Linked DNA regions of Pelodiscus sinensis. The protein of the gene in region 3 interacts with the protein of the main gene of each other region in a pairwise test. Links are inferred from orthologs where the notes say so. Each region holds a gene or a part of one and is shown on either strand. Other genes may lie near its edges.

The links.
Region 1: the proteins of NDEL1 (region 3) and KALRN interact in a two-hybrid assay, tested with the Homo sapiens proteins (2 studies listed by BioGRID and IntAct). The link is inferred for Pelodiscus sinensis from reciprocal best matches to the Homo sapiens genes NDEL1 and KALRN.
Region 2: the proteins of NDEL1 (region 3) and MRC2 interact in a two-hybrid assay, tested with the Homo sapiens proteins (2 studies listed by BioGRID and IntAct). The link is inferred for Pelodiscus sinensis from reciprocal best matches to the Homo sapiens genes NDEL1 and MRC2.
Region 4: the proteins of NDEL1 (region 3) and CCSER1 interact in binary tests that used the Homo sapiens proteins (3 or more experiments, as listed by UniProt). The link is inferred for Pelodiscus sinensis from reciprocal best matches to the Homo sapiens genes NDEL1 and CCSER1.

What each region holds. Positions count from the first base shown.
Region 1 is NC_134717.1:10,318,278-10,325,855, reverse strand, and holds the start of KALRN (kalirin), read right to left. Parts: upstream 3,007-7,578; 5' UTR 2,528-3,006; coding exon 2,455-2,527; intron 1-2,454. UniProt on the Homo sapiens protein: Promotes the exchange of GDP by GTP. Activates specific Rho GTPase family members, thereby inducing various signaling mechanisms that regulate neuronal shape, growth, and plasticity, through their effects on the actin cytoskeleton.
Region 2 is NC_134739.1:5,204,492-5,211,370, forward strand, and holds the start of MRC2 (C-type mannose receptor 2), read left to right. Parts: upstream 1-3,878; 5' UTR 3,879-4,237; coding exon 4,238-4,340; intron 4,341-6,879. UniProt on the Homo sapiens protein: May play a role as endocytotic lectin receptor displaying calcium-dependent lectin activity. Internalizes glycosylated ligands from the extracellular space for release in an endosomal compartment via clathrin-mediated endocytosis.
Region 3 is NC_134730.1:1,648,974-1,656,948, reverse strand, and holds the start of NDEL1 (nuclear distribution protein nudE-like 1), read right to left. Parts: upstream 3,017-7,975; 5' UTR 2,935-3,016; coding exon 2,869-2,934; intron 1,625-2,868; exon of another isoform or gene 1,475-1,624; intron 1-1,474. UniProt on the Homo sapiens protein: Required for organization of the cellular microtubule array and microtubule anchoring at the centrosome. May regulate microtubule organization at least in part by targeting the microtubule severing protein KATNA1 to the centrosome.
Region 4 is NC_134715.1:16,265,656-16,273,452, reverse strand, and holds the start of CCSER1 (serine-rich coiled-coil domain-containing protein 1), read right to left. Parts: upstream 3,009-7,797; 5' UTR 2,854-3,008; intron 2,583-2,853; exon of another isoform or gene 2,526-2,582; intron 1-2,525.

The DNA.
Region 1 (7,578 bases), on a different chromosome or scaffold from region 3:
ATAGTCAGTTTCATTAAGGTCAGGCCTACCATCAGATGCCTGGATTTCAGTTTATCTGTGTTATTTATATTCATTTTAAAACATACCTGATATGCACAAAATACTGATACTGTTTAAAAGAAAAATTGTTTACTAATTCACAGACATGAACCAGTATCATAGTTATGAGAGGACACATGATGGTATAGAATCATTCAGATGCAAACTATTCACTTCCTTGAATAAAATGTAATGCCAAAAAACCTCCAGAAACCCTTTAAATTAAATGCACAGGATACCTAACAAAGTTATATTCATTATTCCTTAGGCATGAAATTTCAGGAGGAGGACACAGAACAGGAAAATGTTTGATCATGGGACTCTGAGTGTTTGTTCTTTTCTTATTTAGCCTGATTTCTTTTATAATCTGCGCACAAATGTGAACAGTCCCTCTGAATTCAATTTTATCATCTTTTCTTATGCTGGAAATTGAGTGTCATTATGCAATGATTTAAGCTTTTAAGGGGGAGAGTCCTGAAGCAACATACATTTTTAAAAAGAAAAATTGCTAATTTTTAAAGTGCATTCTCCAAAACTTCAATAGCCCAAGAACATTTACACCACTGGGGTATGGGAAATCTATAATGCTTTACTTGTAGCCGTGCAGAGTATCAGGAGGCAAATATTCATTGGCTTAATGGATCACAAGATATGCAAAGTCAGACCTTATTATAGTTATCCTCCAGATCAAAGCATTTTCACATAAACATGGTTCAGTCCACACAGTTGTAGCAGATCTGCAGGAATGAACTCCTTTAAAGTTTTGGTGATTATAAGATTTGTTGTAACTGGAGCCTGAAACCATCTGTATAACCAATGATCAGGTAGAAGGAAGAAGGCAGCTGAAAAGCAAAGCCCTGACAAACAGCTGTGGCAGTAAGTGTCAAATCCAGACTACCAGGGTCAATACCCTTATGAGTGAGCATTTAATCCTTTGCAATTTTAATTAAAAATCCAACAAGTAGTATGTAATACTTTCTTAAAGTTCCACCTAGGGGATTAAAATGAATTCCATAAATTATTTCACCTGGGGCTTTGATCCTACATAAAATTATGTTTCAAAGATAAGGCACACCGAACTCATAATACCCTATGTGGGTTTGTAGTGTAGACACATTTCTTAAAGAATATGGCCTGAAGCAGAGTCACATTTCATCTTATACTATGTAATAGTATTGTCCCCTAAAACTGGAGGACATTTATTTCTCACACTACTCATTGATACACAATTGGATGTGTTCTTGAATCCTTCTAACGAAAGTCTACTTCAGTAGGAATGAGATACCCAGGCAAATATGCTCACCAGTTTTCCCATCAGTAATGACCTGTGTTGACTTCTAGCATCCCTAATGTCCAGTACCCTGCCACATTATCTATGACTGATGGCACTGGATTAACAAAGCCTTTTTAAAGGATTGCAAAGGTGGTTTGAGATGGAAGGGTATGACAGAACTTGCACATATAATATATTTATAGTTTTCAAGTGAAAGTACAAATTTACTAGACTGAAGGAGGGATGAAAGTAACTCCTCTTCAAAATAATTAATTGTGATTATTATTTACTGACCTTTCCCCCCTTATTCTCCAACCTGACAGTGGCAGGATCCAGGAAGCAGTTATACACTATGGCAATATGCCTAAGGATGGTTAAAATTGGAGCTCTAGCTCCATCAACAGATCCCTACCTATAACTCAATTTGAAAGCATGTTTAAGACCAAATGCCATGTCTTTTTGTGTGAGGAGTTCTCACAAGCTACCAACAAACGTCTTAGAGAGGCTTTTGTGTGTTTCCAATCTCCGAAGAGGAAGGGAGAGAGTAAGGTTACATTTCCTGCAATGTTAAGATCTTGTAACATGCAAGAACTGGGAGGATGTGTAATCCCTTCCCTCTTGCATTTAAAAAGTGATCTAAGATCGCCCCATTCCTGTGTAACAAGCGAAGAGCAGCATCATTTTCTAGCAAGCCAGGGAACAAATGGAAACGAAACAAGAAGAGGGGGGAAATAAATCTGGTTCTCTTCTGAAACTGACAGCCACCACTTTCCAATCCCCAGTCAATTCGCTAAGTGCTTTTGAAAACAACCCTAACACAAAGCGCCTTTGCCCAGAGAAGGGGCTTCTCCTTTTAGTGTATGTCACTCTGGCACCAAGGCTTAGAAGGGGGAGGGGGAGCAGAGGGGAAATAGACAATGAACAAAATATAAACAAGAAGAGGGGAGAATCAGAATCCTTCACCCAGCGGACCCCAACCCTGTCCATGCCCCCAAACAAAGCAAGACAGCGAGTTCCCTGCGGCCATCCACTCCAGGATGGTGCCAACGCAAAACAATCCCTTTCTCGCATCCCATTCTCGGCCAGACAGGCGGTGGCAGCCCCTTCCCTCCTCCATCTCCCCTTCCCCATTCCTGCCTTACCTGTTCGGAAAAAAGCATCCACCTCGGAATCGGGAACAGCACCTTCCTCCGCTGCCCCTTCTGCGGGATTCATGGCTGGGGGAAGAAGAGGCGAGCCCAGCTGCTGCTAATATCCAGTGAGTTAGGGAGGAGGAGAAGCAAAGGGGGAGAGAGAGGGAGGAGGGTTGGAGGCGCTTTCAGCAGCTAGCCCAGCCGTGCACCACCGGGATCATCCCTTCCATGGTGTCTGATGAGCTCTGCTGCGGCTGCTGCTCCCTGGGCTTAGCAGCAGCTGCTCCCACTGCCTGCCAGTCGTGTGGGGTTTGGAGTCCTCCCCCCAACACCTCCAGCAAAAGCAGGCTTTCTGCCAACCCCCCTCCTCTCTCTATTGTTCAGACCTGCTCTGCTCTCTTCCCCCTCCCCTCCTCCTCCTCTCTTCTTTGCCAACAATGCCCCTTGCTGCACATGTGACTCCAACAGAGCTGTATTTACATAGATGACAGTTCAATTCCTTACAGCAGCGGCAGCCGCTCGAGCTAGTATCACACCAGCTATTGTTGTTTTCCTAATGATCCTTCCAACCAGACTGGGTTATTCTGGCAGTCAGGACTTCCTGAGGGAGGCAGGAAAACTGGGATGTGGATATTAAATGGGAAAAGGAAAGGGGAGGGAGGCTGCTGTGTGGGTGTGTGTTGTGCATTTCGTGGGAGCTTTATCTTTACATGATCAGGGGACTTTCTTCTTCCCCATTCTTTCCATCTCTCTTAAATCATCTAATCCACTCCTCCCAGCCAATACAGGATTGTGCCCTATAGTATATTCTCCTACCGAGTTCTTAGCATCTCACGTGACTGGCTTTTACACACAGACACACACAGACACCTCTAATGCTTGTACTTGTCCTTACTATATGGATCATTCACCACAGCTTTCCTTCCTAGATTCAGATCACAATGAACATTTTTTCCTTCCAGGCAGATTCAAACCAAGACAAAAACCCACTGGTTGTGTATGAACATACAGTCAGGCAAATGAAGTCCACCACAGAATGGTTGGCTCCTGTTGAATTTCAGTTCAAAGAAATATGTAAGGTTGACAATTAATGCAGTGACTGTAGTACCTATTGGTTTTTAAACAATATTTTTGCTTACAATATGACAGTGCTTAAGAGCATACAGAATGCTGTTTCAAGTTCCATTTCTGAGTGTACCATGGTCCTGAATAGGCATGTGTGTGCATGTCTGAATATGGGCACTTAAGCCTCCAAGTGGATTTCACTGATTGTCCCTGGGTGCTTTGCTTTGCTATCCTCTCTATTTGTGTCATCAATCTGCATTGTTCTCATATCAAATTTAAAAGCAATGAGGCACATTGCAATGGTAGGTATCTATAAAAAGTGCAAAGTCAAGTAACAAAACTGGGGTTTTCTGTATACTGCTATATAACATGATGTTGAAATGTCAGGTTTCTGAAACAAATATTTGAAACTCTGTATGTTCTTGCAGGTGCTTTCACATTCTGCTTTTTGCAGCTGTGAGGAGCCTTTGGGCTTGATGGAATGCATGGAGTTGTAGTTTGGGAATGGGACAGGAAGCCGGGATATATTCATTTCTAGTTCCCAGTCTGACATTGGTTCAGTTGTCAGGTGATTTCTCTACCACAGTTTCACTATCTGTGATATGAAGATAACATTTACACAATTCTCTGAAAGGGGTATTCTGAGGAATAACTATGTACTATTTGTAAAATGCCTTGAAGATGAAAAGCATATGTCCAGGTAATCAGATAATAATGTGAAACATAGGGCCACTTGTTGAAAAGCTTTCCTCGCTCTGTCATTCTCAACCTCATCAGCTACTCATTCCACCTTAGCCACACAATATATCCAAAACTGTTAATTTACTCATTAAGGCCAGATTTAGCCATTTTGTCTCACAGTGACAGTTGAAATCAGTGAGCTTATCTGTGGTACAAGGTACTATTCTTTATTATTGTTTAGGGGGGACCTAGCCCTAAAAAAAATAAATTATAAGTGAAACTTCACCATGTCTATCTTCTTGTTCAATTCAAACCTTATGTTTTTACTTCATCCCAAAATTGACAACTTTCTTGTGCCTCTTTTATTGCTCAACGCTATAATTCTGCTTCTAATCCCTAAGACATTGCCCACAAACCTTTCTGAAACTCTTATTCATGCCTTCAGCACCTTTCATCATGATTAAGAAAATGTACCTTCTAGTACAGGGGTGGGCAAAAGGGCCTCCACAGGCTGGATCTGGCCCGCCAAGTGGCGGGAAGAGCGGAGGAGGCTTTGTGCGCTCCCCAGCCAATCTGGGCCTGGGAGCAGGGGAGCGGCGTGAAGCTTCCTTCACTCTGCCCTGGCCCTGCGAGGAGCCTGTGGCACCTCGCAGGGCAGGAGGAGACTTCCTGCGCTATCCTGCCCCCAGGTCCTGATTGGCCTGGGGGTGGGAGAGCATGCCAAGCCTCTTCTAGAGCATGGGTGCCTAGTGGGAAGGGTGGCAAAGGGGCTCTCCCCACCCGCAGATCAATCATGGTCTGGGAGTAGGGTAGCCCTGCACCTTCCCATTTAGGCCCTGCCCCTTTCTGTTTAGGCCCTACCCCTTCCTGGGTGGCCTGGGACTACTTCAGAAATTTTTGAAGTGGCCCCCAGGCAAAAATTATTGCTCACCCCTATTCTAGTACCTGAAATTCTTCAACAAGTGTTGTCCATATGTAGTCTATTCTTGGTGCACATGTATCCCATGAACTTGAGATTGGAATCTTTTGGCCAGCAGTGTCCACTTGGTGGTTGTGCTCCCATGCCAAGTGTACACAGACTAGAGCAAGCTTAATCACTATTCACCTCCTGTGCTACTGCATAATCCAGATATGAAAGAATTCTATGGCAACAAGGATGGAGAGCAGGCTGTAGAATACATATGGACATCACATCACAAAGAACTCTGATTGTTTTAAGGTAAATATTTTTTTTCTTTCATCCTCTAGTGCTTATTCATATCTCTTGGTGACTCACAAGCAGTGACTTGATGTGAAGACAGTGGGTACTCAGAGTCTGCTTAAATAACATTTGCAATGCAGCTCTTCAAAAAATATCAGTAATACACTCGACCCTTTCCCAGAGCAGTGTGGCTCCATGGCTGGAGTCTCTAGGAAATGCCCCTCTCACTGGGGCAGCACGACTTAATGGCTGGAGTCTCTAGTAAACATCCCTCTCACTAGGGCAGTGCAGCCTAGTGGTCAGAGTCAGTAGTAAATCCCCCTCTCACCCAGAGAGTGTGGTTTAGCAGCTGGAGTCTACAGTAAACAATCCTCCAACCAGGACAGTGCTGCCTGGCAGTTGGAGTCTCTAGTAAACACCCCTTTCATCAGGGCAGCACGGCCTAATGGCCTGAGTTTCTAGTAAATTCCCCTCTCATTAAGACAGTGCAGCCTAGCATCCAGAGTCAGTAATAAATAGGTGCTGGATCCCTCCAGCTCGGGGATTCAGGAAGTGGTAGGGGGACCCAGGACCCCCCTACTCCACTGGGTCTCAGCCCAAGGCCCTGTTAGCAGTGGCATGGTCCACTGTTCTCGCAGTGGGGAATCCCACCGCAACACGCAGAGAGCCACAGGCAACAATATCCCGCCCTGGGCTACTTCCTACCAGTCTCTGCTGGCCTTCCTTCATACCCTCTTTTGTGGTTTTGGTGTTTTGCTGGCTGGTTTCCAGAGCTGGTCCCTCTGGTAGTTCTCCTGCAGGAGCTCAGACAATGCCTCCTTCCTCCTCAGCAGCCAGCCCAGACTGAGCATCTCTCCAGGTTTTTAATACCTAGGTGGCAATCTAAGCATCCCCAGCAGGGCTACAGGGTCAGGGCTTCCTCAGCCAGGTGAGACTGGTTAAGACCAGCTTTCCCAGTGCAGGACTGGTACACCCCATCACATACTCTCTCCCGTAAGTGGTGTTCTTGGGGGGGCACCTCTTCCCCAAACTCCCCGGCCCATGAAAATAAGTCGGCATTAGCATGGACTTTTCCAGTCTGGTGAGCAACCTGAAATGCCTAAAGGAGTGACAGGTACCAGCGCAAGATTCTGACATTGGTGTCTTTCATGGTGTGGAACCATTTTAACAGTGTGTCATCTATAACCAACATGAATCAGCTCCCTAAAAGATAATACCTCAGGATCTCTGCTGCCCATTTCACCACAAAAGCCTCCTTTTCTATTGTGGAGTAATGTGCCTCTCATGGGAACAGTTTATGGCTCAGATACAAAATGGGGTGTTCTTCCCCTCCTGCCTCTTGTGATAATACTGTTCCTAGACCTGTCTCTGAGGTGTCTGTCTGTAGATTAAACAGGCTGTTGAAGTCTGGCTGGATGAGCACCAGTTCCCAGATCATCTGCTCAGACAAGGTCTTGAAGACGACTTCACAGTCCTCTGACCACTCAATGTGATGAGACTGGGGCTTCTTCTTGAGGTCCGTAAGAAGGGTAGCTAGGGTGGCAAAATTTGGTATAAAGCACTGGTAATATCCTATTATCCCTAAGAACTGCCGCACTTGCCTCTTTGTGGTTGGAGTGGGGTAGACTCGCAGCACTTGCACATTATCTATCACTGGCTGGAGTTGTCCTCTGCTGACAGTGTCACCCAGATACTTTACCTCGTGTTGGCCCCAGTGGTATTTGGCCAGATTTGCAGTAAGGCCTGCCTCTGCCAAGGCTTCAGAACTTGGCTTAGGTGTTGCATGTGTTCTGCTCAACTGTTACTGTAGACCACAATGACATCAATGTAGGCAGCTGCACATGTATTGTGGGGACCCAGTACTTTGTTCATAAGCTGCTGGAAAGTGGCTGTTGCCCCATGCAAGCCAAAGGACATTGTGGTAAACTGAAACAGCTCAAAGGGTGTTGGAAACACCATTTTCTCCTTTGATGCTGGCGTTAAAGGGATCTGCCTGTAGCCTTTGGCTAGATCAAAGGTAGACATGAACTTTGTGTGGCCCAACCACTCCAGCAGCTCATCTAGATGAGGCACGCGGTGTTCATCAAGTTGTGAGACGGCATTCACCTTCTTGAAGTCCACACAGAACCTGACCACTCCACCTGGTTTAGGCACCAGTACCATTGCAGTCCTCCATTTACTCCTGG
Region 2 (6,879 bases), on a different chromosome or scaffold from region 3:
CTCCCCCACCCCCATCTACCTCCTACTTTATCTGCCTGCCTGGACTCTGCCCTTCCCCATCCTCCTGTCCCACCACAACCTGCCCCCACCCCATCTGCCCCTGGGGTCCTCCCCGCATGCCATTGGTCTCCTTGTCTAGTGGCTTGCACCTTATGGCCCCATTTCCTGTCCCCTCACTTCATCTGCCTCAGGATCTGCTCCCAGCTCCCTCTTTTCCTGGGTCCCGCCCCCAATCCTAGCCCCCTGCCACGCTATCTGCCTGTCTCTCTGCATCCTGAACCCCAGCCCATGTCCAGACTCCAGTCCACCTGTACTATCCCTGCATTGTTCCACCTTAGTATTGCATGTCCCTAGCTTCGGGGACCTTCCCCAGCTCTTCCTGCACCCTAGGGTCCCTTTGACACCCAGGGGGGTTCACTTGGGATTGGGGGGCAGAGCTCAATTAGGTCACGGGATGATGGAGCCGCGTGTCAGCGCCAGTACATGGTGCTTTTGGGGATAGATCCCCAATGCAGGGCCGCAGGTTCCTGACAGTAGGGAACCCAGAGGAGCCTCTCCGAGATTTGCTGCAAACGGTGGAGGGATGGGGGGGAGGGGGAGAGTCCCAAAGAAAAAGTGTCCAAAAGCCTTTATGAGGCCAAAGGCAGGCAGCCAAACTACAGGGATCGCTTCACCCAGCGCCGGGGAAGAGAGGGGCTAGTAATCAGAACTGCTTTGCTGTGTGTTAGGAATCATTTCAAAAGGGATGGAGAATAGGACAGAAAATATCTTATTACCTCTGTATCAATCCATGGTGCGCCCACATCTTGAATACTGCCTACAGGTGTGGTTGCCTCGTCTCAAAAAAGATCTCTTGGCATTGGAAAAAGTTCAGAAAAGGGCAACAAAAATGATGAGGGGTTTGGAATGGGTCCCGTATGAACAAAGACTGGGGCTTTTCAGCTTAGAAAAGAGGAGATTAAGGGGAGATATGATCGAGGTTTATGAAATCATGACTGGTGTGGAGAAAGCGAATAAGGAAAAGTTATTTACTTGCTCACATAGCATAAGAACGAGGGGTCACCAAATGAAATGAATAGGCAGCAGGTTTAAAACAAACGAAAGGAAGTCTTTCTTCACTCAGCACACAGTCAACTTGTGGAACTCCTTGCCAGAGGATGCTGTGAAGACCAGGATTTTAACAGAGTTTAAAACAGGGCTAGATACGTTCATGGTGGTTAGGTCCATCAATGGCTATTAGCCAGGATGAACTGGAATGGTGGCCCTAGCCTCTGGTTGCCAGAGGCTGGAAATGGGTGACAGGAGATGGATCACTTGATGATTCCCTGTTCTGTTCACTTCCTCTCGGGCACCTAGCACTGGCTGCTGTCAGAAAATAGGATATAGGACCTTTGGTCTGACGCAGTACGGTCATTCTTATGTGTCACATGCCCCGTACTGACACATCCCCACTGCTCTCTCTGTGCTCAGCACCTCAGTGACCTCCGTGTACCCCTCCATCACTTCTTTCCCCAGTACTGCCCGTTTCCCTTGTTCTGACCCTAACCCTGCACCAGCATTTTCCCCACCTCCCCAGGGCTCTTCTCATCCCCGTGTGCAGCTTCCCCCAGTCTCTGTGTCCCTCTCCCTCCGGAGACCCTGCTTCTAGCCCTAGTTCATTAGTTCTCTCTCTCCTGCTTTGGGCACCTCCTCTCTGGAAGGGGGAGCGGGAGGTGGCGGAGGAACTGCTGGCCTAGTGCAGGTGAACAGGGCCCGGGGGAAGCAGCCTGACTTGACTCTCTTGCCCCCAGTGAATTGTTATCAGTCCCGGTAACACGCTCGCCCAGCCTGCTATGGGTGCGCCCCACATAGTGCTGATGAGCCCATAGGGGCAGCCCTGGGCAAAGGGGGCAGGAGAGACACAGATGGCCCATGCCTGCCCAGTTTGCTCCCTCCTCATCTCCTCCAGCCAACACCGGTGTGGGAACAAGGAGGCTGGGGGTGCTGCAGCACTCACATGATTGACGTGGGGTCTTGGCTGCTGCCCCACGCCCAGGGTAGCCCCCCCTTGGCCCTTTTACCTCTGTCTGACTTCCCTTTCCCAGAGGCACAGCTCTGCTCCCAGCCCCAGCTCTGGAGCGGGGCTGGACAGAGATAGGGGGGCTGGCTTTCAGCACCCCCACTATTAAAAATATCCCAGCACCATTGACAGCCGAACCACCTGCAGCCCCCCCCCCCCCCCGGATGCCTACCCCAGCGCTGGTGGGCCAGCCTAGTTAGAAGAGGCCAGTTGAACTGGAGGAAAACATCCTGGGGCTGCCCCATTCCTAGACGTAAGGCCAGAAGGACTCATTGGGTCGTCTTGTGTGGCCTCAGGCAGAGCGAACCGTCTTCCATCGCTTTGTTCCTCAGGGCGACCCCCGTCCTTTACCGGGAGCCGTACTGAATAGGGATATTAAAGGGTGGGTATTTAACTAACCGAGTAGTCGATCGACTTTTTATCGACTAGTCGATAGGCAGCCTGGCTCCGTCCCAGCCTTGGGGTCAAACCCCGCTGTCGTTCTGCAATTGAAAATGCAGTAGGTGCCCGGGGGCGGGCTGCCTGGCTCCTATTGCCTTTTAAATTGCAAAGCCACAGTGGGGTTTGGTCCCACACCCAGCGTGAGCTGGGACTGAGCCAGGCTGCCTGCCCAGCCAGCAGCAGCCTCTGTCTGGGGGGGGTCCCAGTGAGGAGTTGGGACCCTCCGCAGACAGGGGCTGCTTCACGGCAGCAACGGGGGAGGGGAGAAAGGACAGGCGGCACTGTGGAGACGATGCTGGAGGGAGCCAGCTTATAAGGCTCCCCCCAGCACTAGCTCCCACTTTCCCTGCCCCTTGCTGCTTCAGATACAGAGGCAGCAAAGGGGCGGGGGGTATGCGAGTAGTCAGCTTGATGACCAGATACACACAGGCTCATCGGGTAATCGACTGCTCCCTTAATATCCCTAGTACTGAAATGTGTTCACACCAGGAAACCCTAAACTTTCAAACCCCAAACTGAAGTTCCTGCTAATTGGGTTCCATGGGGGGGGGGGGGAGAGATGAGAGAGAAATCCATGAGGGGGTAATCCATGGGTTCCCTAAAGTCTGAGCCCTTGGGCTCCCCGCGCCTTTCCCTTATTTCCATCCACCCTACTTGGGAGGCCACTGGCTGGACTCTAGGACTGTCCCTCCAGGGCAGGGAAGCAACATTAGAGGGTGTTTCATAGCTGGACGGGGAGGGGGGCACAACCCCGTTAGGACTTGAGTCTGGTCCCATCCACACCCCAAGCCCCTGGAGCTGCCTGGTGCTTTGCACTGGAGTTGGCTGGCCCAGCAGGGGGAACAGGCTACGGCTGGAGTCAGTTCACACAACGTGTCAGCCTCGGGGCAGGCCTCTCCAGACTCTGGGCTGGGGGTGGAGTCGCTCTCCCGAGCTAGGTGCAGGCCCAGCGTGTAGGTTTGAGCGCAGCACTGCAGAGCACCTTGTGTTACCGTCGCACCATGGTACCCCCAGGAGGAGGACTTGGGGCATTTATTCCTCCCGGGCAATGGGGGAGGAGACCGATTCTGCAACCTGCCTGATTAGCGTGCAACGTGCAAGGGATGAGTGAGCCGAAGTGCATTTGCTCGCCCTGTATTTGGAAAACCTGGACGGAATGTCACTGCCTCTCCCCACGGCTCCCTCGCCTGTCCACTTGGCTGACCCAAGCCAGCGCCCCGGCCCAGAGCTCCCACTGCAGAGGGGGCGTGGGGCGGCCGCGGGGAGGGAGGAATCCGGGACGCCCGGCTGGGCTCCCACGCGCTTCGCTCCACTCCCCGCCCCGAGCCCCAGCGGAGCAAGGCTGCGCCCTCCAGCTCCCCACGGCCCAGGGTGGCGGCCGCCCTGCCCAGCGCCGCCCAAGTTTGCTTCCAGCGCGCTGAGCCTCAAACGCTTTTCCCCCTTCCCTGCTTTTTTGGGATCAGCCCACAAGTGACGGGCTGCCCGGCTCTCCGGTGACGCAGTGTCTGGGGCTCTTTGAATCCTCCGCAGACAGGCAGAAACCCACTTTCCTGTGTCCTCCGCCGCCTTTCCGCCCCCCTCGCCCCAGCCCCTCCAGCGCCCTCCCCTCCGGAGCAAGAGGAGGGCAGCGGGAGAGCGCAATTAGCCAGCGCAAGGAGCTCTGCGAGGAGCGAGAGAGGGGGGAGGGGGGATCCAGCCTCCATCCAAAAAAACCCTTCAGCAAACCTCTCCCCGGGCATGAAACTCCCGGCGCTCGCCTGCTCTCCATGGCCACTGCTGCTGCCCTGCGCTTTCTTCTGCGTCCTCAGCCTCGCCCCGGGGCTCGGCGCCGCCCGCTCAGGTAGAGTTGGCGAAAGTTTTTCAAACTCCTACGCGCGGCGGGGGGAGGGGGGCCGGGTTCTTTGTGCCTCGGCGGCTCCAGGTCGAGTCCCCCCCCCCCCTTCCCCAGTTTTTTGAAAGCCAAGAGGAGAAGGAGCCGGCGGCGGGGAGCGCTGGGCTCTGCGGGGAAGGGCGGGCGCGCTGAGTGAAACCAGATGTGGAGGGCGCCCGGGCATGGCTAGAAGGGGGGGTGGGGGGAACGGGAACGAAGCAGCCGCGCGGCGCATTAAAACCACGAGCCCCCACCCCAGACAAATGCCCATCCTCGCAGGGTAGCGCCTCGCTGCTCCTGCGCCCCCCGCGACCGCACACCAGGGCCCCGCGAGGCGCGGCGCGCAGAGTTCTCCAGCGGGCAGAGTGGCTCGGCCAGTCCCCTCTCTGGGGCGCCTGGGGCCCCTCTGCCGTGTGGGTGACAGTGATTTGGCACGTGCCACTCGCTGGCCAGGCATCAGGACCTCGCTGGACCTAGGGAGCCCATCATGCCCTGGCGGACTCCGCCTGCCTAGGCGGCTTGGGGCTTATGCCTTGGATTCACAGTTCTTCTCCAAGTTGGCCCAAGTCCACCCAAGAGGGTGGGCAACTCCTGGTTTGTACCAGGCAGAAAGACTGGGGAAAAACGTGGCTTTTCCAGCTCATATTTTAAAGACACAAGCTCTGAAATGCAACAAGTCGGCAGAGGCTGAGGAATTGCCAGGGACGTGGGGGGAGCAGCGAGAGGGGCCGGGGGCGGTTTGGGGCAAAGAGATCCCCAGGTCAGAGTGGATGGGAGTCAGAGCCGCTCTGGGACTGGAACCCTTCTGTCTCCTGAACGGGAGATGCTTTGTTCTGAAAGGAGTTGATACCTTTAGGCCCCAGTTCAACCAGTCACCCCCATTCAGCCAAGTACACTAGTGCAGACTCAGGCTCCCTTGGGTAGCTCTGCAGCACTGGGGCCTTGCTGGAGACTTGGAGGCTGTGATGTTTGTTGTAATTTCTCATGATAAAATGATTATTGTTTATCTTGGTAAAGACATGACCGGCCAGATGGCCTGCGGCGTTCAAGGCCTCCCATGGAATAGCCATTTCCACTGTTTGGTGACTGAGGATGTGACTATTTATGTGAGCGTGATTGATGTCCATTTAGTTGCTTACTTTAATTTGGCTTTATTAAAAAATAATAGGGCTTATTGGTCTAAACCAGCAGTTCTCAAACTTTTTGGGCTCCGGAGCCGTTTACATGCGTAAAAATGTATGTGGAGCCCCAGGGGTCCACTGATTGTGTGTGTTGTACCTATCGATGGTTCCAGTTTGTCAGCCTCGCAGAGCTCCTGGAGATGTCTCACGCAGCCCTGGGGCTCCACGGAGCACAGTTTGAGAAACACTGGTCTAAACAAACGTAAGCCTTTAATTTAATGTATTGGAGTGCACTCGGGAATAGGGATGTAAAAGGTTACCTGGTAAGCATTAGCCTTACCAGCTTGCTTATCTGGTAACCAGTTAACCAGAGGGCTGGACCCAGCCAGAGCAACCCCCCCAACTATGGAACCCCAGCCCTCCCTGGTTAATCATATTGTTTAACTGGTTAACTTTTAATAGCATACTTGGGGCGACGAGGAATAAGGGATCTTTCGGAAAAGGCTTTATTTTCCGAAAGATCCGCGTCTAGACTGGTGCTTTTTTCCGGCAAAGCTCCGAGTTAGAAAAAAGCGGCAGCCATTTTTATGCAAATGAAGTGGGGGGGATTTAAATCCCTGCTTCATTTGCAATTGCTATGTGTCTTAATTTGCATCCCTTTTATGGAAAAGGGATGCAGTCTAGACACAGCCTAGGTGACTTGCCTAAGGACATACAGGAAGTCTGTGGCAGAGCCAGGAACGGAACTCAGTTCCCCACTTTGACCCCACGTGGGCAGTGGGTGAACCTAGGGCTGGGGGAGATGCCTTCTGCTGAGATGCCCTGCCCCCCTCCCCACACCTGAGCACTTGTGGCCTATGCCCCCGCTCCCTCCGGAACACAGGCGGCCCCAGGGGAGGCTGGCAGTGCAGAGCTGAAGCCCAGGCAGGAGGCTGAAGGATCTGTGCTGAATGGGAGGTGGCTGGGGGCAGGGCCAGCCAGGGAGTTGCCTGCCCCTGCCTATGATACCTGCCGTCTATGTGTAACCAAAAGACCAAGCCTACACTAAGTAGGGCCCAGAAGGCCGCCCTGTGTAAAGCCGGTCACCCGGTGCTGCTCTTCACATTGATCTTAATGCTGATGGCTGAAATTGGGGTGGCCAGAGATGTCCTTGTGCTCCAGTGCACCTTTAGCTGCAGCTGTGAGGAAGGGGGAAGGGCTGTGTGCGGCGCTGTATGGAGGGCTGGGTTTATAGGGAGGGCTTTGGCTCAGGGCAAGAGCCCGATTGCATGAATTTCTCCAACTATCTGTGGTGTTTGCAAAACTGCTTTGAGTTCCCAAACCTCCCTCCCCATCACTGAAACCCTAGTGATCTAGGGCAAGAAAAATTAAATGGGAAGGCAACCCCG
Region 3 (7,975 bases):
ATACCTCCCAAATGGATATCAATACCAAAAAGTTATTAAGGGAACAATTTCTCTAACCTTGAGAAGTTGGAGATAGAATGGTTTGTTATGCCAAGTACACCAGGGATTCTTAACTATTTTGTAGCAAGAAACATGTGACTGACTGTGTTATTGGGGGCGAAAGAGTTGTTGATCTTCTACCCACAAGTCTAAGTCAATCTTTAAGCAGCTAATATTTACAAGAGACAGAGAACACAGAAGTAACTGTGGACACAAGACATCCCCTTTTGCAACAATGAAGATTTTCTGTTATCGTCAGGAGCTATTTTCCAGACTACTCCAGAATCTGTTTCCATCAGGTGAACTGGACCTTTAAAGCACAATTTTCATTCTATCCAAACTGGACCATCCTCTAGTTCATATTAATAGCATAGTTACAGTGTACAGATCAGAAACAACCAAGGTGACAGATCTATTGTAGTTATGTCAGTGCAATTTAAGTATATAGTTGCACAAATCAAAAAGGGAATTTTATATGTTTTAAACTGAACAAGGACAAATTAAATAGAGATCAGAAATCGATTATAACTGACTATTTCAGACACACAACTCTAACCACAAGTGCATACTACAACATACAAACATTCTGCCCAGAGATGGGCACAGAAATCTCTTCACCTGTATGAAATCACAAGATTCCTTGACTAGCAGAGTGTAATATGCACTGCAGAGGCAGCATGCTCCAGCAAAGGGAAGGGGAGGAGGAAGACAAGTGGCAATTTCAATCACCAGCAATCTCTCATAAGGAACAGCAGTGACAGAGACTGCAAGAGCCCTAGCTAGGCGGACGAATGACTGTTGGAATACGGCACAACGTGTGTGTGGGAAGAAGCTGTGAAGTTGGATCCTTCCTTGGGGTTTCAGCAAAGAGCTGCTTGTTCCCACTGCCTTCACGTGCCTCACACCAGATTTGGGATACTTAGTTTAAGCTTTTCAGGGCATCCCTCTCCTGGTGAAAAGTCTCTCCTGAAGAATGGACCAAGTTAACGCCTAAACCTGCCCTTTTCTCTGCAGGAACAGAAATAGTATTTTCAATGACTCACTGGACTTAAGTGCATTTGACATCATGAGCATATTTATGTATCCTAGCAACCATCTGACAGCAAACATTTTGCAGACCTTTCCCTTTTTCCATACACAGCAGTGAGACTACCACTTTTGGCAAGCAATATATAGGAGAGAGAGAAAGAGAAAGACAGAGAGAGAAAGGCAATCCAACCCTACTGCCCAACAGTGCTTTCCAGGCCCTGAGGATTGCCTTCACCAAAAAAAGTAATCCTGAAAGTGGGCTTTAACCATAGGTTTAGTGGACATGAAGGTGACTAACCAGCAGGGACAAACCACATTCAGCATCACAAAAGATAACCATTGAGAAAAATCCACTAAGAGCAGGTTCTCTCACAGACAGCTGACAGGAGCCTCTGTCCCAACCCACCAGTCAGTTGTAGTCAGCATCATCTCAGCTGCCCAGACTGCTGAAGTCATGTGAGCACAGCCCCAGCTCCTCCAACCGCCGCACCATCTCTGTGGGCCCTGAACATCATGCAGTCCCTGTGCCTGGCAGCCCAAGGACCCCCCCCCCCCGGGGACCCTGCGCCCTCAGCGCCTGGCAGCCCAAGGACCCCCCCCCCCGGGGACCCTGCGCCCTCAGCGCCTGGCAGCCCAAGGACCCCCCCCCCCCCCCCGGGGACCCTGCGCCCTCAGCGCCTGGCAGCCCAAGGACCCCCCCCCCCGGGGACCCTGCGCCCTCAGCGCCTGGCAGCCCAAGGACCCCCCCCCCGGGGACCCCGCGCCCTCAGCGCCTGGCAGCCCAAGGACCCCCCCCCGGGGACCCCGCGCCCTCAGCGCCTGGCAGCCCAAGGACCCCCCCCCCGGGGACCCTGCGCCCTCAGCGCCTGGCAGCCCAAGGACCCCCCCCCCGGGGACCCTGCGCCCTCAGCGCCTGGCAGCCCAAGGACCCCCCCCCCCGGGGACCCTGCGCCCTCAGCGCCTGGCAGCCCAAGGACCCCCCCCCCGGGGACCCTGCGCCCTCAGCGCCTGGCAGCCCAAGGACCCCCCCCCCCGGGGACCCCGCGCCCTCAGCGCCTGGCAGCCCAAGGACCCCCCCCCCCCCGGGGACCCTGCGCCCTCAGCGCCTGGCAGCCCAAGGACCCCCCCCCCCCGGGGACCCCGCGCCCTCAGCGCCTGGCAGCCCAAGGACCCCCCCCCCGGGGACCCTGCGCCCTCAGCGCCTGGCAGCCCAAGGACCCCCCCCCCGGGGACCCTGCGCCCTCAGCGCCTGGCAGCCCAAGGACCCCCCCCCCGGGACCCTGCGCCCTCAGCGCCTGGCAGCCCAAGGACCCCCCCCCCCCCCGGGGACCCCGCGCCCTCAGCGCCTGGCAGCCCAAGGACCCCCCCCCCCCCCGGGGACCCCGCGCCCTCAGGTGCCACATCCCCGCTGATCACCGCCCCGCCCGCACTGGGGCCCTAGGCCCTCGACTCGGCCCCCCTGCCACGCGCCAGCCGAGGGGCCGGCCAGAGGCGCGGGGAGGGGCCGGCAGTGCCGGGGGGGCCGCCGGTGAGTGACGCCCCCGTCACTAATCGCAGCTCGCCAGGGCTCCGGCTCCGGCCAATGGCAGGCGGGGGCGGGACCTGCCCCGTTGTCAGTTTACAGCCAATCCCGTGCGCTTTGCGGAGCAGGAACCGCGGCCCCGCCGGGCGCCCCCCGCCCCCGGGCCCCGCGCTCCCTCACGAGCCCCGGGCCCGCCACAGGGCGGCTCCCCGTCAGCCCCCCCGCGTGCCCGGCCCGCCCTGCCCGGAGCCCGCCCGCGCCGCGCGCCCCCCACTCACCGCGCGCAGCCCTGTCACGGCGGCAGCATCTCCCCGCTGCCTGCCCGGCTCCGAAGCCTGCCTCATCCGGGCTCCGCGGGGGCGGGGCCGCCGCTGTGACGGCGGGCTCGGGGGCGGGGCCGGGCCGCACGTCACAGCGAGGGGCGGGGCCGCGGCCCCGACGCGCCATGGGGAGGCGGGGCTCGGGGTGCGGCGGGCTCTGCTGCCTACGCCCCGCCCCGCGGAAGGGGAAGCAGGGCCGGAAATGCGGGTGAAATCGGGAAAGGGAGCCGCCCGGATCCGGTCACGTGGTAGCCAGGCCCCGCCTCGCGCTGGGGGCGCGGCTCAGGGGCGAGCCGGCGGGGGGCGCCCGGCCCGGGTGCAAAGGCGGCTCCGCGCTGGGCGCAGCGGGGAAGAACAGCGGAAGCGATCGGCTGAGAGAGGCCCGTGCACGGGGGGGGCGCTGACCCCCGCCCCCCAGAGGGGAGACCAGCCCCGCCCCCCGCACGCGCCCCGGGGCCGCTAATAGATTCCGTGCGCGCCTGCCCCGGCCCGGCCCGCGGGGGCTGCAGGGGGGCCCCGTGCAGAGGTCCCCGCCCCGGGGCGCGGCGCTGCGTAGACCAGCGAATCGGCCCGGCCCGGCTGGTCATGCTCATGTGAGGTCCAGGAGATCAGGCACCCCCCTAGACGGGCTGCTGTCACCCCACGCTGCTGCCTCTTTATCAGAGGCAGCAGCACAAAGCGACAGGCAGCCAGTCCGCGAGGGGAGCTGGTTTTTAAACCAGCTCTCCTCCTGGACCCCCTGACTCCCTGCACTGCTGCCTCTGATGTGGAGGCAGCAGCACGAGTGGCAGGGAGGTCTTCGGGAGTGAGGCCAGAGCGCACTGGCTGCTGGCGCTGCCCCTGGGGGCTATCTACTAGCCGTGTCACTGATAAGAATTCATGAGGTTAATTGACTATTTAGTTAACCGATATCTAACATCCCTAGTCGAGACCAGATTACCCCATCCCTGGGCTCTGATTTAGGTAAATATACACTATCCCAGCCCAGAGTAGAGGGAAGTGGGGGGGGGGGGGGGTAAGTTGAAGAGCGAGTCTGGCCCACGCTCAACCTGCATTAGCACTTCCTGGTACTACATCTGAAACAGGACCTGGGCTCAGTCCCACAGGATGGGAGCTGCTGCTGTGGCTTGCATGTGGGGTGAGGTCAGTCTCCAGGCTACCCCGTGGCCTCCCCTCTGACTGGGCCAGGAATAGGGCTGCAGTTCTGGGGAAGTGACACGCGATGAGGGTGATTAAAACAAAAACACAGTTTGTGGGTTGCCTTCGTAAAAAGTTTGGGAGCTGCTGATCTGGGGCCCTCAGGGAAGGGACCGTGGCTCGGTGTGGGTTCACGCAGCACCCTGCCCTGACCAGCTCAGATCTTCAGTGACTGCTCCATTGACTGCAGCAGAGCCACCGGGATTTACTGATCTAGGATCTGTCTTAATACGCCCCAGGACTAGTGCCCATGGATGTGTGTGTCTCACTTAGCTGCTCTATGCTCCAGTTCCCTGCTCTGCGACATGCAGCAGATGGTTCCCTGTCTGGCTTGGATGCTGGGGGGCTTGGTTCGTGTTTCCCGGAGGCTATGAGAAGGGCTCTGGGCGGTTTCACTGTCGTTCCTGCTGCGCAGCCCTTGTCTGCCACTCAGCTCCAGCCAGCCTATGCTAAGCCTTTCCCCAGTCAGAGAACCTATAGCGTAGCGATACGGCTGTGTACTAACATCTGGTCCCTCTCTACCCCTTCTCCAGCATGCCCCACCCTTCTCCCTACTCCCCCTCAGTCTTTTGTCTTTCTCCCCCCAAGTCCCGTATTCTAGCTCACTGCACGGCTGCTGTGTCCGGAATATCCGGGCACCTCGCACGCCTTGACCTATTGGTCTCACAGCATCCCTAGGTGGGGGGGAACTTTGCCACTGAGAAATGAGGGCCTGGATCCACAAAGGGACTTTGGCATTGCCTGAGTCAGCATCGTGGGACCTAAACCATCACAGGACCAACATTCGGTGATCCACAAAGCTGAGTTAGGGCCTCAGTGCATGGGGAAGAAACAGGCACCCACGAATGGGACCCACCAAAGCCAGTATGCTGGGGAGGGGGCTACCTCAGCCAGACAGCGGGAGATGCCAATGACGGGTGTGTGCTAAACCTTGCCCTCCCCTGGAGTACGGCACCTAGGCTGGGCTGCAGGTAGGTGCCCATTGGGACAGGTTGGCCTTGGGGTGCCACCAGGAGCTGGAGTACTGCTGAGCCCTCTGACCCACCAGCCTGAGCTGCTTCTCATACTGTGCTGCTGTGAAAAGCTGCAGATCTGCTCCTGGTGCTACACGTCCTCCAGCGGTCACACGGGTAGGGGCACACCCAGCTGCAATACAGGCAGGCCCCTGACCAGTCACTGCATGGCGCGGCAATAGAGAGGCTACAACTTCCCAGTTTAGGACCCCTCACTGGAGTATAGACCCCACATGATGCCATGTGGCACCGCACAGGGAATTGTACCGTGTCAGCTCATAGAGTTCCCCCACTCCCAATGTGGAGAGAAAATGCAACCGCCCCCCTGAGCTCAGATTTCCCAGCATTTCACTCCAAATGTGCTGGTTTGGATTAGCACATCAAACACGTGTATTAATGATTAAAACCCAAGCTTTTAAGGGATTAAAAGTGACAGCAAACAAATCAAAGCAGATCACTTAGTAAAAACGCAAATCAGGCCTAGGATACTGGAACGATAGGATACGAATTAGCAAACTCTCGCCCTGGCTGAGGATAGAACCAGGCTGTAGATTCTCTAGTTTTGCAGCTTGGAATCCTCAGGTTTTCATACATGGGCTAGAAACCCGTTAGCTTGGGGGCCCACACTGCCCCCAGGTCAGTCTTTGTTCCTCAGGGGTTTGGGGAGGCCTCTGGTGTGGGAGTAAAGAACAGCCTCAGACGTCTCTCTCCACCTTATATCGCTTGGACACATGCAGGAACCCTTTGCTGGAAACTCAGCTTGTGGGAAACGTTGCCACCCCAAGATGGATGCCCAGAGTCCTTGCGTACCTTGCTGAGCCATAACGTACCAGGGTCTGGGACAGTCATAGCAAGGTGAGGTTCTTCCAGAGTCCGTTGGCTTTGCTGATGGGCCGTCAGCGTTGTCTGGCTTCTTCAATGCCGCCCCGGAAAGGCTGGTTGTGGGTGTCGCCCAGAGTGAGCACAATTTTCATACAGACCCAGTGTCGATGTTCCTAACGCTAGGGACTGGAGTGACACATGCACACAAACAGAATAGGCAGAATCAACGAATCACAGCCCCCCGTGACACCTCCCATCACCTGTCTTACACAAAATGCATCGTACTGATGCCATGGCCGTGTCATCATGAGATCCCTGACGAACGTGGCATATAATGTCACGTCCCTGCCTCCTAGCAATACGTGCCTGGGAAGGATCCTATTCTGGAATTAGGCGGCTGCCTTGCTCCTCCTGTAGCAGCGGGGGAGGGGGAGCAGGCTGACCTCTCTGCGTAACTTTTAGCCCAGTGGTTTTAGCACTCACCTGGGACGTGGGGGACCTGGGTCGAATCCCTCCCTCTGTGCTGTCTGCACTCGAGAGGGATGGAGCCTGGCCACGGAAGGGAGCCTGCAGGAACCCGGCTTCCCCGCCGCACGTCCCCCAGCTCAGTGGCTGCAGGTGCACAAGTAGGATAATCGTGTTCGGCTCCCCATGAGGCAGAGGGGGAACCGAGCCCAGGTCTAACCGGTGGGCTCGGTTAGAAGGTAGGTGCTGCTTCCCCTCCACTGGCCAGATTCTGAATGGGACCAAGGCCAGTAGGTGGCCTCTGAGTGCCCCTGCCCAGCCCAGGCCCTGCAGGCGAGTGGGGTGCCCCTCCACCTGTCTTCCCCCAGCTTGGGCATGGCTCTTGCGCTGAGGCAGGAGCTAGGCTACAGCCACCTGCTTAAAAGGAGGCAGCAACGCGCACGCCCAGGAGCGGAGAGGTCGGTGCCAGCTGGGCACCTACAGTTCAGGGCAGCCTAGTGCGGGGCTTTGTAAGTCACAGCGGTGACTGAACCAGGCTTTTAGACACAGAAGTGGATCTGGGCCCATGCGATTTTGTGACGAGGGCGGATAATAGCAGGAGCAGGCTCAGGGACCCAGGCTCCAAATGGATCTCTGGTTGGGGCGGGGCAGGGCAGGAGGGGGCGTGGGGACCGGGCACTATTCCTGCCCCTGCCAAACTGTTCCCACACGTCAGGGTCTCCAGGGCCGGCAGCGCAGCTCTCTGAGCCTTCCCCAGCAACACGTATTTAACACAGAGTCAAATTCAACGGGCCCGCTTCTCTGAGGGAAGGTCCCACATGTCCCGGGTCCAAATAGCATCCCTGGAAACAGGCAGAAGGTTAATGGATGATGATCCGCACTATTGTGGGGTGCCAACAATTGCACAAATGCTCCAAATCTCTGCCAGCCCGCCGGGGTCCCAGAACAGATTATGTAAACTAGGTCAGTACATTTGAAAGCCGTAAGGGACTGTTACGATGGCCTAATAAGTCAGACAATGACAAGCTCAGAACGTCTGGGTGAACCACAGCGGATCCTGTAGCAAGACGCAGAGCTGGTCTTAGAGGCGGGCGAGCTAGGCGGTCTCCCAGGGCCACCATTTTCAAGGGGCTGCCGACAGAGCTTGTTTTAGGGACGGGCCACGATCACATTTCAGCCCGACCTCCTGAATCCTCCGCCCAGGTTTCCCTGGTTACTCCCTGACCCTTTTTTTTTTTTGGTCCAGTATTTTTTTTAAACCATCTGGCAACCCTACGGGCGAGCCAGGCAGTCACCCGGTGCCGCCAATTGGTTAGGACCAGCCCTGGCAAGACTTCAATTGATGGAGAAACTACCGCATGCCTTGGACAGTCGTCCCAATGCTGAATCGCCCTCTCCGTGTGGTGGCTTGGTTGTTTGTTTTGTTCTATTTGTAACTTATTTTTGGTTTGAATTTGACTATCTTCAGCTTCCAGCCCCGGATCTTGTTATGCTTCTGGCTGGTCCATCAGAGCTCTCCGCTCTCAGAAATCTTCTCTCCACATAAATACGTAACCACAGACTACGAT
Region 4 (7,797 bases), on a different chromosome or scaffold from region 3:
CATCATGCAGGGAAATTCAGGTCCTCTGACACTCTACACAGTCCTACCATAAGAGGGCCTTATGCAGGTGCTTTGTGAGCCAGATGGGGATTCCATCCTGCAGGGCACTTACTCACACAGGTTTCCCACTGATTTGAATGGGAATGGTGCCCAAGCTGAACTGCATGAGTGAGCACACATTCAGTCCTACTCTCATTCAAACCAGTGAAGCTTTTTCAAATTCCTACTGTCTTCAGTGGGAACAGGCTAGAGTGCCCATGTCCTCACTACTTCCCTGGCAGTGCTAACTACTTTTGGAACTGTACTAACTACTTGTGCACCTAGCACAGAGTGAGAATTGCCACAGCCACCTTGTAGTAACACAGCAGTCCCTCTGGAAGGCCATTTCACTACCTGAGGCCTTCCTCTGGTGTATAACTCAGAATTTAATCAAATCCCTTGTCATTTAGATGTCTTAAAAATATTTTTTTTTAAAGTTTGTCAGGCTACTGGTTTCCATACGATAGTATGATTCAATAACAAGAGTAAAAGCAACTCCTACACAAGAAATACATATGCACTATTATCCTCACTAGCATACTCCTATGTACATAATTACAAATCCTGACACTTCAATTTTAATTGTGTTTTGCTGCATAGTCACAGTTACATATACCATAAGGAGTTAAAAAGAGAATATAAAGCTTCCAAACAACTAGGTGAAATGTCTTTGCTATCTAAATATTTTCAGGTTTCACTTTTATATAATTTTTCACTTTTACATAATCTTTAACTGATTTTGCAACATGTTCCTTTCCCCTCCCCTTGTAAGTATGAACAAGAGGAACTGTGAGAAGCAGATAGTAAACCTTCCTAGTTTTTCCCCTACTGCCTCAGGAGATTTTTAACACTTCAAGTGCAATAATAAACCAAAAAGAAAAACATGTCTGGCACAGATTTGGCTTCAAGGAAAGATTTTTAAGTTTCTCTTCCTGACATTTCAGCTGTGAAAATGTCGAATAGGGGAATTGGTGGACAAAAGTGATTATTTTCTCCACTGTGCAGAAGCTTCAGGGGATAGCTGAGTTAGTCTGTACAGGATAAATTTTTTTTTAAAAAGGAATAGTTTGGTAGCACTTTAAAGACTAACAAAACATGTAGATGGTATCATGAGCTTTCATGGGCACATCCCACTTCAGAAAAGCTCATGATACCATCTACATGTTTTGTTAGTCTTCAAAGTGCTACCAGACTATTTGTTGTGTTTTTAAGTTTCTCCGCTGTGTTTTTCAGGGACAAGCTGAAGGGAGGGAGAGAGCTGTAAAGTGTACATGACTGATCTCTCAAGAGCGTCTCTTCTCCACCATAAAGGAAAATTATTCTCAACTCCTCAGTGAGACAACTCCTAGAACCTTTCCTCAGGGAAAGCCAAGGAGCGCACCAACCTGAGGACCGCCCTTCCAGATAAGAAAAAAGGAACATAAGGATATACTAAGGGAAAGCTTGAGAGTTTCACAAGCCCATTGAGTAATTATAAACATCCCATTTCTTCCACTCGGAGTTACCTTGTGCAATTCAGTAAGGGATGGGTAGCATCCTTCAGTTCATGACTCAAAGACTGGCCAGCTAGATATGCCACATATCATCATCCAATGCCACCACAACCTCCTCATTCAAATCTCTCCTAACAAACCCCTTCTTCCTGGAACCCCCAGCTGAATAAATATTAAAAATTAAAAAAAGACAGAAAAAGCCAAACTTAGAGCCTTTCTCTCATCTCATTCACACAATGGGGAAGAGTCAGGAATAACTCCACTGCCAGCAAGAGGAGTTCTGACAGCGCCAGAGGAAAAGCCGTGTCTTCTGGGTTTCCCAGCACCTCTTGCCTATTCTGGGTCTCTCACACTTCAGGTCAGAGCCATGAGGAACCGTGAGGTCTTGTGCAGCGGAGAGCTCTTTGCCAGCACAAAATAAACAATTCCTAGTAATGTCACCATCTCCCTCCTCCTCCTCACGGCCCCTCCACAAACGCCACCTGGCCTGGCTGCCCCCCTCTTGCGGACAGCTAGGGAAGAGAAGAGCTGCCTGCCAGGCGCTTGCGAACCGCTGGCTGAGGGAGCAGAGTCCCAGGGGAAAAGAAAAGGTGACATGTGGCATTGTTGGCAGGTCCAGGCCCCCACACTGTGCAAGCTGCCTCCACCGGGTGCAGGCGGCCCGGGTCCCCTTTAGGTGCAGCAAAGCGGGGAGCTGCCTATCTGAGAGTGCGGGCTGCCAGCACCGCCTGCGTCTTCTCACTCGCTGCCAACCCACAAGAGTCCTTGAACCTCCACAAAGCGACTTGTCCTCTTGCCTAATCCCAGCCGCGGCTGCCGATTTGCGGCGCGAAGCACGCTCGATCCCCGGGATCAGCGCGAAGAGGCAACGCAGATCTACCTCCTCCTGCGCCGCTTGGTGCAGCCATGCCCCGGGCCCCGGCCGGCTCAGCTGCCCTCCTCCCCCTCCCAATCAGCTGGCCTTGCTGCCTGCCTGCCCGGCCCCGGATCTACCTGCAGGAGCCGAAGCGGAGAGGAGCAATGTCCCGCTTCCCTGCCTCCCATCCCTCTCTGCATTCACCACCCGGGAGGGGGCGCGGACGCAACACCCTCAGGAAACTCCCCCTTCCAAAATGCAACCGCAACCCTCCCATCCCGGGGAGAGACAGGCCCCCTCTCTCCCTCCCCAAACAGCCAGCAGCAGCACCAAGGCCTGGGCTGGCTCCCCCGTCTCCTCCTGCACCGTGTGGGTAACCTGCCAGGCTAATCCCAGCCCCTGGGCATGGAGCAGAGCAAACCGCAAAGGCAGAGGCGTGAGCGGGGCATGAAGGATATTTACTACCTGGCTGGGCTGCTGCTCTCTGGGCTCCTCCAGTGCACTAAGAGCTTGGTTTCTCTTTGGGAGAAGGGGGTGGCAGGGTGAGTCTCTGCCTTGCACCCCCCCCAGTCCTCCGCGTGCTGGCTTCCCCCCTACCACCACCCCCCCACCCCTTGGTTCAGAGCTAATAATCCTCCGGGAGCCAGCACTGCTCCCCTGCCGGCGCCGCCGCTTCCCAAGCAGGCATGTTGTCGCTGGGTGAGCGAGCCGAGGACGGATTGGCAGCCGGCTGTGTGTGTGCGCGGGGAGGGCGAGGAGAAGGGAGGGACCAGGGGAGGCGCTTCCAAGCGCGTCTGTGTGTGTTGCCACCTCCCTGGGCTGCAGCTCCCAGGCCCACTCCGCCTTCCCAGGCCCTGCGGAGGGCGGGACGCTGCAGCCACACACAAGCCGCCCGCGCAGGTTGAGCGAGGGATTGTCAAGGATTTAGGCAACTTCCCGTCGCCGGGCTCCGAGTCAGCAGAGAGGTGACCTGTGTCCCGTAAGCCGCCTTAGCAGCGAGGCGCCCCGCCAGGGCTTCAGTCCCGCTCCGGTGCGTTCCCGTTCGCTAAGTGCTGAGAAGTCTTGTTTATGCCTGGAGTGTAGCTAACGGGTTCACCGCCCTGCCCCCCTTTTTAGCTCGGCACGGGCTATGTGATTTATTTTCCAGCTAATACGGCACACCTAGCACTAGCCAGGCACGTGAGCCTAATTTAAACACACGGCCGAGTTCTGTATTTAAGACGCTAGCTGCCAGCCCAGGAGCCTGGGTTACACGGTGGGAAATTCAGACATGGCTGCTGGAGGAAGTCTTCTGGAGTTAGTCCAGGTATGCTGGATTCACGCCCTGGAGCTGAAGTCGGCAAACAGGTGTTTGTTTCCAAACAGAAGCTGGAGTGGTTAGCCTGCCGCATAATGGAGATTGGTCCTTTTTTTCCTCCCCCCCAAAAAATAATTGTTTCTTGTTAAATGGAGTGGTTCTACTTTGCAAAACTTGCTCACGTGAGTCATGCTTGTTTACTCTCCATGGATTGCAATAGGGGAGTGGTATTCAACTTTTTTCCCCCTTTGCGGATGCCTAAAAAAATTCAGATGGAGGTATAGACCATTTTGGAAATCTTCGTCTGTAGACCCCAAAAGGTTCAAAACCCCTGTGATGGGACTACTCGGGAGCAAGGAGCCCTTACATGAGTAAGGGTTTATAGACCTCCATAGCTTTATGCATACAAGTAATGCTGTTGCAATTAATGCTATACATATAGGTAAGTCTTTTGAAAGATTAAGATTTATGTTTGGACATTTCTTCATTGTGTTATTGGAGCTGAGACAAAACTGCAAAAGAGTGATGTATTTTCAAATCCAACTTTAGGGAAATAGGATGAGAGTTTTGCCAGTTGCTACAGTTATGCTAGGCTTTCATGCCTAATGTATTGCTGTAAGTTAAAGATCAACAACGGAAAAGTATTTTTAAAGCAAAAGAACCAAATCTTGCTGCCCTTATGTAGGCTGATCTACCTTAGCTAAAACCCCCATTGTGGTCTAAGTGAACATTTGCAGGATTTAGCACATACACATTATCAATTCTTTGTGCAACAAATTGATCCAGATTAAAAACTGCTGTCTAGACAAGCAGGTTCAACAATATGTAATTGTTTCTAAACATAGCTAGTTCATTTATTTGTTTGGACTCTATTCTAAAGAGCGATAATGAATTTTAACCTGGAAGAACCCTGATGTCTTTCTGCTGTCTTATTGCTACTGCTCTGTTCCCTCTTCCTGATAGTGCTGAATAATACATCTGGAGTAGATAATGAATTCTGCAGTAAATCTTCCAGGAAAGGTTGGAGCATATTATACAGGATGTGTAGTAATGGAACTTGGAATGTAGAAAGAGGTAGAAGTTGCTTAGAAATCCCTCCACCAGTATTATAAGATTGGAAAAACCTTGAAAATTATAACATTTCTTTGTGATTCACTAGTTACAAATGAAAGTATACAATGCCCAGATATTTTTAGAAGGAATCAAGTCCCAATTCAGGAAAGTACTCCAGCAGGTGCTTAAAGTTAGCCACATGATTAAGTGTTTTCATTAATCAGCCCCCAGTTATTTCCTATTCTGCCTCCCTGTCCTCATGCTTCTTGACACTTAAGTAAAAACACTCTAAATGCCTTTCAGGGGTTAATCTTATTTTTTTCTAGCACTTTGCTGTAAATCCACTTGTCTTCTGCCCTGGAAGATGAGCACCTATTATTAAGCAGCACTCCCACAAATTCTTCAAGATATTGCTTCCAACCACAGGCTTGGATTCTGTATGCTGAGACAGGCAGACTAACAACAGCAAGCAGCAAAGGTCGGACAGGATAATGGCAGCTTTACCAACTGTTAATCATGTTGTATGTGAATGAAAGAAACCATAGTCATAATATGATTAATCATCAAGGAGCCTCCACTTTAAGAATGTTGGTTGAAAACCTGTTGGGTAGGTGCAGGGAAGCAGCAGGATGTGCACTCTTTGGACACCAGCATAAATATGTAACTCAATTCTCTTGTCCTCAATTTTTCAATGATGTCACTGGAAAACCAGGCCAATCTAGTTCTTTCACTAATATATGTACATTTTAAGAGAACTCTACATTTGGGATATGGAATTTCACAAGAAAAAAGACACTCACTAAGCAACTGAAGTGTTTTTTTGAAAGCTTTTAATAAAATAATCATTTTCAGCTCCTCTCCTTTCCGGTTGGTGCTTTTCTTCTCATTCTACCTTTTGTCTGCTTTATCAATTCCTAACCCTGTGCCTTGTTTTATACCACCCTCCTTGCTAGCTGCCTCTCTACTAATGTACAGAATGGTTACCTACCCTACAGGTATCTTGGCTCCTTAAGATGTTGTGGCTCCCTACTGAAGCCTTGCAAATATCAGAAACATGAACATTCCTGATGCAGTAGGAAGATGCTGCCTGTAATCGGGTGGTACGTGCTTTGGTGTTTGGAGGGAGAGGCTTGCCGACTAGTTGACAGCAAGTGGAGACCCACTATGTGATTCACTTGGAGATTCTGTGACAAGATGGTCTCTGGCTGTTAGATGGGTAGAAATAGCTACAAAGAGGTGAGGCGACAACCAGGAAGATTTGGTGCTATTAAGGCAACATAAAAAGCTCAGGACACATCCACAGTTTCTTCTTTCCCAGTTTGAAGGTAGCTCTAGGAAGAAACATGGTGAGGTAATTGGCTCAGATGGAAGTAAGAAATCACCTTTTCCTTAATTTTACCCTTTTTTTTTAAAACTTGCATCTTTGTTAATAAGCTTGTTTTACTCTTAGTCTAAACCAACCCAAAGCTGTGTTTAAACTGAAGTTACTGCTAACTCCAGTGAAAGCAACAGGAGATAAAGATGAACATTCCTTTGGTGATGATACAGAATGGTAGCTGTTTGTTTTTGTACTATTGTAGTGTCTCAGAGCCCCACTTCTGCTAGCTACTGTACAAACACAGAACAAAAAGATAGCCAGTGCCACAAAGCCTGCTGTGCCCTTATCTCCAGTTCCTCCTGGTACTCCAGCAGGGACAATGACCTGCTTTGCTTCCATATGTCAGATGGAGACCAGCTTCTCAGTGTGTAAAATGATGGACCCCAGGAACCCCAACAAAGATGGATTTGGATGGGGCAAACCCAGTGCCAGTCCTGGTGAGCCCTGCAGGGGAAATTCTCTATGGACTTTGAGTAGAGAACTCTCTCCTGTGGATGTGGAGAATGTGGTTTCATGACCGTGAGGAGAAGGAGGCTTAGTGTTGCCTAGGGATGCCACCAAATGTTATGGTGCTCTCACTACTGAGGTTTATACAGGTACTGTAGGTTCTTCAACACCAAAGACTTAGCCTAGGGTAGAGCCAGGACATTCTCTATGGTAGGTGTTGACACAGGAATGTGGAGCCAGTGCTCTTGCGGTCCTTTGTGCTGGGATTTCCTTAAAAACCTTTCAACTTGGTTTCTGCAGAATCCTAGAGCTGGAAGGATCCTCAAGAGGTCAAGTCATGGCAGGACCAAGTACCATCTAGACCAGGGCTACTCAACACATGACCCATGGGCCACCTGCAGCCCATCGCCCCTTTGTTTACGGCCTGTTGTACAGTTTAGGTTTACGCGGGGCTCAACATGTGGCCCGTTGGTGGGAGCCAAAACAAAAAAGTAGTCAATACAATGGTCTTCTGTTGATAGGCATTTTAGTAGTTAACTTCCTGGACTGTTATTGCTCATTAAAAGTGCTGTTATATGGGAAGAAATTGGGTAAATATTGCATTTTCATTAATTTCAGCAGAACAGGCTTAAATGGGGCCTATGTGTTCCGTAGTCTTGCCTTAAACTTTATATTCATGCCTGTCAGTGTGAAAAGCTATTTGCATATATGTTTGCATGTATATGCAGCCACGCTTAAGTTAAGCTTGTGCTGTATCATTGTGGCCCCCGGGGCTTCCAAAATTGAATAACCCTGATCTAGACCATCCCTGACAGGTATTTGTCTAACCTGCTCATAAATCCCCAATAAGGATACGTCTAGACAACATGCCTCTGTCGCCAGAGGCATGTAGATTAGGCTACCAGGCGTAGGAAAAGAAGTGGTGATTATTTAAATCGCCGCTTCAATTTAAATTTACCTGGCTGCCACGCTGAGCCGATCAGCTGTTTGTCAGCTCAGCGCAGTAGTCTGGACGCACGGGTGTCGACATCAAAGGCATTTGTAGACCACCCAGGATACAGCGTGGCAGCCAGGTAAATTTCAATTGAAGCGGCGATTTAAATAATCACCGCTTCTTTTCCTATGCCTGGTAGCCTAATCTACATGCCTCTGGCAACAGAGGCATGTTGTCAAGACGTACCCTAAGTGAGATTGCACAACGTCCCTAGGCAATTTATTCCGGTGCTTAACACCC